Cricetulus griseus: one gene and its partner. The protein of the gene in region 1 interacts with the protein of each later gene in a biochemical or structural test. Links are inferred from orthologs where the notes say so. Each region holds a gene or a part of one and is shown in the gene's direction. Other genes may lie near its edges.

Evidence for each region. The genes of interacting proteins can lie anywhere in the genome.
Region 2: the proteins of Acvr2a (region 1) and Synj2bp form a complex in vitro, tested with the Homo sapiens proteins (2 studies listed by BioGRID and IntAct, with this or other methods). The link is inferred for Cricetulus griseus from reciprocal best matches to the Homo sapiens genes ACVR2A and SYNJ2BP.

Annotation. Positions count from the first base shown.
Region 1 is NC_048599.1:125,453,550-125,457,707, reverse strand, and holds the start of Acvr2a (activin receptor type-2A), read left to right. Parts: upstream 1-1,358; 5' UTR 1,359-1,514; coding exon 1,515-1,569; intron 1,570-4,158. UniProt on the Homo sapiens protein: On ligand binding, forms a receptor complex consisting of two type II and two type I transmembrane serine/threonine kinases.
Region 2 is NC_048598.1:122,173,508-122,177,730, forward strand, and holds the start of Synj2bp (synaptojanin-2-binding protein), read left to right. Parts: upstream 1-1,423; 5' UTR 1,424-1,548; coding exon 1,549-1,612; intron 1,613-4,223. UniProt on the Homo sapiens protein: Regulates endocytosis of activin type 2 receptor kinases through the Ral/RALBP1-dependent pathway and may be involved in suppression of activin-induced signal transduction.

The DNA of each region.
Region 1 (4,158 bases):
TTGACTCTATCAGTCATTCTTGGCACGCTATAACTAACTTCTAATATCCCCAAATAGCTGAGCTTCTGTTGGAAGGGGTCACATTTTAACATTTTGGATTTGTTTCGGTGATTAACTGGGCACCCTGTAAACAAGTCTTACGAGGTCTCACAAGAGGCTAAGAATTGATAACGCCCACTTCTCTGACCGTCTAATACATGGATCGAAATGTGCAGTTTTCACTTCAAGCCTAATAAGATTTTCAAACCAATTAGGAGCAGACCTGTTTGCAACACAATGCTTTGTGTATACAAGGTATGGTGGAAAGGATTCGAAACGTACATCGTGCTATCTGGCGAGGGTGTCCCGACCTGGCGGACAGCCCTTCCTGCTTTTTTTCTCTTGTAGCCCAAAGACAAACGCTGGGAGGCCTCGGTGGTGGCCGGGGCGCGGCCGCCTCGCTAGCACCTAGCTCGCTCGGGCAGCAGCGGGTGCGGCTCCCGCCCACTCGGAGCAGCTCGGCGCGGCCTCGGCGTCCCCCAGAGGAAAGCCTGGGCGCCGCAGTCGGCCTCGGCGTCGCTCATCCCGTTCGGTCGCTACGGCTATCGCGCCCAGGAGGGCACAGGAGCGCCCTCGGGCCTCGGTCGGGACCAGCAGGGCCGGCCGTCCCGGCAGCTCGGTCTCCGGTCCCGCAGGCCTCGCAGAGCGCGCTCCAGCTCGGGCTCCGGCTCCAGCCCCGCCCCTCCGGCTCGCCCCGCCTCCCGGGCAATCTCCTCGCGCTCGCCGCCGGCACGCGCGCTGCGCCCTGCCGCCGCTCCCGCCGCCACCGCCGCCGAGCGTTTCTCCGCCGCGCCTGGCTTCCAGCTTCGGGCCGGAACCGGAAGTGTAGGGGGCGGGGCTGGCGGAGGCCAGGAGACCGAAAACGCGGCCGAGCCGGGAGCCGGGAGCCGGAGCCACAGCTTGGACCAGAACTTGGCCGCCTCCTGCACCACCGTCTCCCGCCGCCGTCTCCCACCGCCGCCTCGCGCCGCCACCGCCGCAAGCTCGGCTACCGTGGTCCGCGGACGTTGGGTGTCCGGGTTGAAGGTCGGTCCGGACGTCGGAGCAGCTCGGCTCCCGGACCGTCCGGGCGGCTGCAGGCGCCGCCGCCGCCGCCGCCTCGTCGCCTCAGCTAGGCGTTTTGTTCGCAGAGACGCTAGAGGCGAGAGGAGCTGACAGTGATTTTGACAGTGATTTCAACCCGCTTTTGTTGTTGTTGGCTTTTCGTTGTTTGGTTTCGTGTTGTGCGTGTGTGTGGCGGTTTTTTCCCCGTGGTACATTTTTTTTTTTAATTGTTGTGCCTCTTTTTTTTTTTTTTTCAACCCCGTGAACGTTTTTGATCCAACCTCCCCACCAACCCCCCCCACCCCGCCTTGGGGCTTCCGAATATGTTTTATGACGGTTGATTTTACACCAGGAGGTTTGTCTCTGAGGAAGACCCAGGGAACTGGATATCTAGCGAGAACTTCCTTCGGCTTCCCCGGCGCCTCGGGAAAATGGGAGCTGCTGCAAAGTTGGCGTTCGCCGTCTTTCTTATCTCCTGCTCTTCAGGTAGGTGGAGGAGCCGGCGCGGCGGGGCTGTGGCCGGCTGCGGTCTCGGCTGGGCAGCTCTGGGGCGGCCGAGGCTTTCCCGCGCCCGACCCCGCAGCCCTGACAATCTGGAAACCTCCATGAATTCCTCTTGTTTTGGGTTGGTTTGGCGAACTGATAGATTGAGTGCTGTGTTGTTGTGGAAGTGAGAAAGTCATGGTTTTGTGGCCATAACACTCGATGACAGCACTGGTTGGGTTGCTGTTAAGCCGCAAATACCACAAGTGAAAATTTATGTAAAGGTTGAGACCCAAAAGGAGTATTCCGAAATGTCATTTAGCCCTAAGCTGTTCCAAAACAAGGACCGGTTTTGGTCGTCATCTAATTAGTGCTTCACCGGTGAATATCGAGACATAGATCAAGCGAGTTGGTGTTTAATTTTGACTGTGAGAAACAATGCATCCTATCAGCAATTTAATCTAGGTCTCCTCTCACGTCTTCTCCAACTTCATTGTCCAGTAGTGTTAAAAATAGTTTTAGTTGTCGGAGTATTAACCATAACCCGGTGCAGAAGAGGTATGCTGCTGCGTGTTGGTGGTATATGCTGGCTTTCACCCACCATTTGTGTGCTCTTTTCAGGCGTAGATTCTGCTTACCTACGGATTACTTATTTTAAACGCTTTGTACCGACGCATTGTTTTCAGTTTAGAACAGGGCTTGTGAAATTGTGCTCACTGTTAAAATATGCTGTTCTTGTGAGATGTATTCTAGCTCAAGGTTAGGAGAATACTCTGGCCATTTTATATCCAAAAATTTGATTATGTGAGGACGTTGTATGGTTGCAACCAGTGGTTGGAAAAAGCTAGGCTTTTGTACTTGAAATTTGGAAATGCATACATCTAGCTGAAAGGTGTGCAGATCCACTTGACAGGAGAGTTAGTTCGAGGAATGAAACAGTTTAAAAGTCACAATGAATGCATTCACTATAAATATCCAATGTATATTTGCTAGGTTGTGGTAAAGAATAGGGGTGGGGGGACAAATTGACAGGTTTCATGGCTGTGTCGTTACCTCTTATGTCATAGGGAAATTAGAAGGTGGTAGTCTTTTCTTTGTGTACCTCTCTGTTGTGTGTGTGTTGAGTGTGTCCGTCTTCCCTACCCCACCCCCCTTTTAATAGAATCTTTTGTAATGTATAGAATTTTTGCTGAATGGTACATTTCCTTGTGGTTAATAAATGGATAAAGTCTAGTCTTATGTCTGTAGTGGTATTGATCAGTTCCGGGTGGGCTGGATGTGTTGTGAAATGGCGATCATTGCCAGAGATTAACCAAAAGAATCATGTCTGTTTAAATGGAAGAAGGAACATGCTTAAGGCAGGCGGACAGTTCTTTTTGTGCTCGGTTTGGAGAGCATGCTAAACAATGGTGTCTGATAATGTTAAACATCTTGCTTTTGTGAAATGACTTAACCCTGTAGTTTTTCTCTCTCATAGTACTCTTCTTCTTTTTTTTTTTTTTCCTCCCTGACCCTATATGTTTGGCTGGTGAACTCCTGTTCAGATCTCTCTCTCTCTCTCTCTCTCTCTCTCTCTCTCTCTCTCTCTCTCTCTCTCTCTCTCTCTCTCTCTCCTAATCTGCCCTTGAGGAGGAGGGGCATCATGGCCATGGATCAAGGGATTGTAGACATTATTCTTTGCCAAACCCACCTGAGTCTCATTAATTGATGAAGGAGGTTATTCTTGAACAACCCCAAGGTATCACTTGTGGAAAGGCAGACTGACACTACAGATCTTACAGCTTCCTCTGCTTGACTTTCGAGTAAAAAGAATTGAGCAGTAGTTCAATTTATGATTATTTTCACTGGGCTTGCAGGTTAATAGCAAAAATTTTGAAATAGAGTTTTGTTGTGACAGAACATAATATAGGTAATCCATTGAAATAATTTGAAAAGCTATGCTCCATATTGATACTTTTTTTTTTTTTGCTTAAAATGCCTGATATTTCTTTAAAAAAGGACTTTGTTACATGTTAAATGCACTCTGAAAAAGTGTGTGTGTGTGTGTGTGTGTGTGTGTGTGTGTGTGTGTGTGTGTTCTAATTGATTTCTCTGTGTAATGTGTAATCTGGCACTGGAAACAGAGGGTGGCTATTTTTATTAGAATTAAGTAATTTACTAAATTACCAGTTTGTTTCTGGGTAGCTGACTTTAAAAAAACATCAAATCGGAAACAGTAGTAACTTGTTTATTCTAGGTGTTCAGGAAAGACAGATACTTGCTCTGTGTGTGTGTGTGTGTGTGTGTGTGTGTGTGTGTGTGTGTGTGTGTGTGTGTGTGTGTGTGTGTGTGTGTGTGTGTGTGTGTGTGTGGTGTTTTGTGGTCTTCGGTTTTTTTTTTTTTTTTTCAGCTTCTTTCCCATGGTATGTGCTATGGAGACTGATTATGCAGCCTATCCCTGTAGGATATGGCCAAGTGTATAATTTCCTCCTTGCTCTCATTCCAGGAGAAACATTTCAAATTTTGCCCTCATCCTGGAATGTCTTCAGATTCTATGATTTTTAATTTTTTTATTCCTCTTTATCCTTCTTCAGAGTCTGTTTCAAAACACAA
Region 2 (4,223 bases), on another chromosome or scaffold:
CTGTAGACAAAGTTACATTTGGTTTGAGATTCTCAAGCAATTTCTAGACAAAGAAATGAGGCCCTGCCCAGGGCCATACAAACTGAGATCTGAAGCTTAGGCCATTGCCAATTTTTCATACAATATCTATGCAGAAAATAAATGTTAATTACATGTCAGTAGCCTTTGCAGCAAATGTTAATTATGATAGAGTCCTTGCTCATCTGGCAAGAGGTTTTACTCAGACTCTGAGATGATGCCCCTCCCATGTCTCATAGGTTCCCTGTCTTCCCATCCTGTCTCATTCATATAGAATCCACTTCTGACTTGTTTTGATTAATTAACAGTGGTTGCTGGCTCGATTTTTAACTGTAAGGTAGAATACCTTTATGGTGATATTCACTCTTCAATTCTCTAACATCTCCAGTAACCAATCCCTTTTTTCACCCTATATACATTTATGGTCACCTTCCTGGTTCCTAAGGCTTTTTTTTTATCTTTTGATGTTTGAAAATTCCTTCAACCTGTTTGGAATGTCCTATTTCAAAAGTCAAGAGGGCTAGGAATGTCACATCTTAAGTCCTGCAATCATCTTGTCAAAAAAATGACATTTCCACCCCCACCTCCACACCCTCCACCCCTGCTTTGGAGTATTTTTCTTGAGTAAGCCTATAATTTAATTAATCCCTTCTCTGTATCTTTGTATGTATACACATTTCTTAAGTTAGATAAGCCTGCTAAAGACACAAACCAGGAATATATTGCAGCAAATACTTTAAACAAAGTGTCTTGTCAGTCGTATGGTGCTCCAGTTTCCTGTCATGTGTGTCAGTGTAGGTGCCTTGCTTTAAGCAGTGAACACTACACACACACACACACACACACACACACACACACACACACACACACACACACACGAGGTGGGGGAGGGAGGGAGATAGGTTGTATTTTTTCCCCCTGTAGATAAATTATATTAACACAGAGTGAACTGCCAGCGAATGAACATGACACAGTGTTATCAAGTTCTTTTACACGGGGCATGGATGTATTGGGCTGTACCCACGTCACACAAAAGGAAAAGGTACAACTTTCTGCCCAAATATGCAATCTCACCAGTAGTTTGCCCGTGATGCCTTTCCCAGTATGGTTTGAAGCTCATAAGATAAAATCCTCCTGTTTTTTTTTTTTTTTTTTTTACATTTGTGGATATTTTGAGATTTTATTTAAAATATCAACAGTATCAATCTAATTACGAACCATAACTTTATTACCCTCTTTCCGTGCCCTCCTTCCCACATGCTTTCCCAAGGTAGGTGAGCATTGTGCCTTACTCATGGCACCCCAGGATCTGCCTTGGGAATGGGGCGAGGTAACGGAAAACGCTGGTGGGCGCGGAGAACCACCACTCCCAGCATCCTTGGCGCTCCCAGTGCCCGCGGTTTCCTCTTCCGGTCCGGCGGCTTAGGAAACTGTAAAAGCTATGCTGGGGACGCGGCGCGGAGCTTGATTCACCTTCACCTGCGCGGAGCTCCAGCTGACCCCGGGCTTCCGCCCGGTGAGCCGTCAGACATGAACGGACGGGTGGATTATATAGTTACGGAGGAAGAGATCAACCTGACGAGAGGACCCTCGGGTAGGCGCGGGACGTGGAGGGAGTCATTGCTGAGCTCGTTGGTTTTGCGGAGCCAGGTTTACTGGCTGGAGAGCAGGCCGGCCCGACCAAGTTGCTTCCAAGAACGCCGTCGGGCACGACGAAAGAGCCCATTGGCATCCTTTGTTAGCTAGATAACGGACCCTGGGACTCGGCCTCACAACCCAGGGAAAGTGCCGCAGGCATTTAGGGCCAGGAAGGGTTTCTGTTTGCTGGTAGTAATAGAAAAGTCTAGACGAACGGCCGCTGCTTAGACAGCCTGTAGTGGACGCCACATCCGTTATTCAGTTGCCTGGATCATCCTTGTTTATATGAGGGCCCGTTCAGGTAAAAACGAGAGCGGTAAACGGCGTGGTTTTCTGAATGCATAGCAATTTCCCTGGTGCTAGGGTCCCTGTCTGCATTTCTGGGAAATTAGTTTACAGTGTCAACTGGAATGCTAAAGCAGGAGGATACCCACTACAGAAGTTTCCAGACCTAGCGCCACCCCAGAATTACTTGGGCTTGTTTTGTTTTTACATTTTTTTTTATAATGAATTAAAACGAAAAGGCTATTTTCTAGTTTCATTTTTAGGGATATGGATTCAGTATGGATTAAACAATTCTTTAAATACTAAATGTGATTCTGACAGGAAAATTCCCACTCAGCCCTGCTGTGTCTTCCTCACCGCTGCTCATGGCCAGACTGGCATTATTATTATTATTATTATTATTATTATTATTATTATTATTATTATTATTGTTTTGGTTTTTCGAGACAGGGTTTCTCTGTGTAGCTTTGGAACCTATCCTAGCACTCGCTCTGGAGACCAGGCTGGCCTTGAACTCACAGAGATCCGCCTGCCTCTGCCTCCCGAGTGCTGGGATTAAAGGCATGCGCCACCACCGCCCGGCGCCAGACTGGCCTTTAAACATGACTACATAGTGCTGTTGTCTCCCTTGGACTATTTTTAGGTTTAGGGTTAACTACTTATGGCCAAGTTTTTATCTAACAACTTACCAGTTTGTCTGTCAGTCTGTCTGGTTGGTTTTAATTCATTGGCAGAGTAATTTAACTGATGTATGCTATAGGTTCTTGTCTGTAGAGTGGAGATGGTTATGAAGTGCATTGTGTTTGACATATAGTGTTAGGATGAAGCCAGTTACGCCCTGAGAAATATTTAGAACATTGTCTTGACATATGGTAAGCAATGTGTATTTGCTATTATTGTTATCATTAGTGAATGAATGGTTAGACTGACCCCAGTAAGTTCTGCTAAATACAGTATTCCAAGAGTTGAATAAATCATTGGTTACTGTGGATTTTTATTCTACTTAGAATATTCTGTCAACTTTTCTCATCTGGAAGTTTGCAATAACTTAATCACTACTGATAGAGTGTTCTGTATAAAACACAACTTTCAGAATTAGTCATACTTTTTGTCTTCCTGTTGGGAGAAAATTGGAAGTTGGTCTTATTTATGGGAGTAACACACTGCTAATCTTTGTGGTTTATACAGAAGCTCAGTGCTGGTTGATTTTATTTTTTATTTCATTTGTCAACTTGGCAGAAGATAGAGTTATCTGGGAAAAGGAACCTCAATTGAGAAAATACCTCTATCAGATTGCCCGTAGGCAGGCCTGTGGAGCATTTTCTTGATTGATATTGATGTTTGATGATCAGCTCACGGTGGGCAGTGCCACCCTGGGCACGTGGTCCTAGATTGTAAGGAAGCAGGATGAGCAAGCCAGTAAGTAGCGCTACTGTAGTTGCTACGTCCAGGCTCCTGATGGAGTTCTCTTTATGATGGAATGTTACCTGAAAGTGTAAGATTAAATAAATCACTTCATCCCTTAGTTGCTTGTGTTACAGTGTTTTGTCATAGCAATAGAAAACCTAAGATAAACTCAAAAACTTTTGCTCAAAGACTTTTCAATATGCTCAAGTGTTTGAATTTGTCCTATTTTAGAAAACTATTCTCTCAATATTTATTTACTTTTTAGGCTAGCATGGTAGAAATTGAATTTTTATTGCATTTATTTAGTTATTTGTGTGAGGGGCAAGGAGGCCTGTAGAACTCAGAGGACAACTTTCAGGAGTCAGTTTTTTCCTTCTATCATGTGGGTCCCAGGGATTGAACTCAGGTTGTCAGAGTTGGTGGCAAGTGCTTGTGCCCACTGAGCCATCTCACTCAGCAGCCTCAGATCTTTAAATAAAAGTCCATTTTTTTGTGTGTACTTTTCATCTTCTCTTCTTAGGATCAGTTGAGATACACCTTTCTGATTGCTTTGCAAGTACATAATGACATCTAGTTCTTTAAATATACTTGCATGATACTACTTTTTATGATGTTTGAGGTTGTTTTTTGCCTAATGGTAAGGACCTAATGATATAGTCTCTTTGCAGTGGTATTACAGTATTTCCAGGGTCTTCCGATGAGAGCAGATTCCTGATATTATTATTCTTGTTTAAGCACTAAATTCAACATAATATCACTGTTTGAACCTCTGGGCATTTTAATGGGCATTGTCTAATTTCTAAGCAATTTTCTTACAGATCTAAAGTTTCTACTCTTAGTATTTCCATCAAGCATTAGAGCTAGGGAAAGTGCCC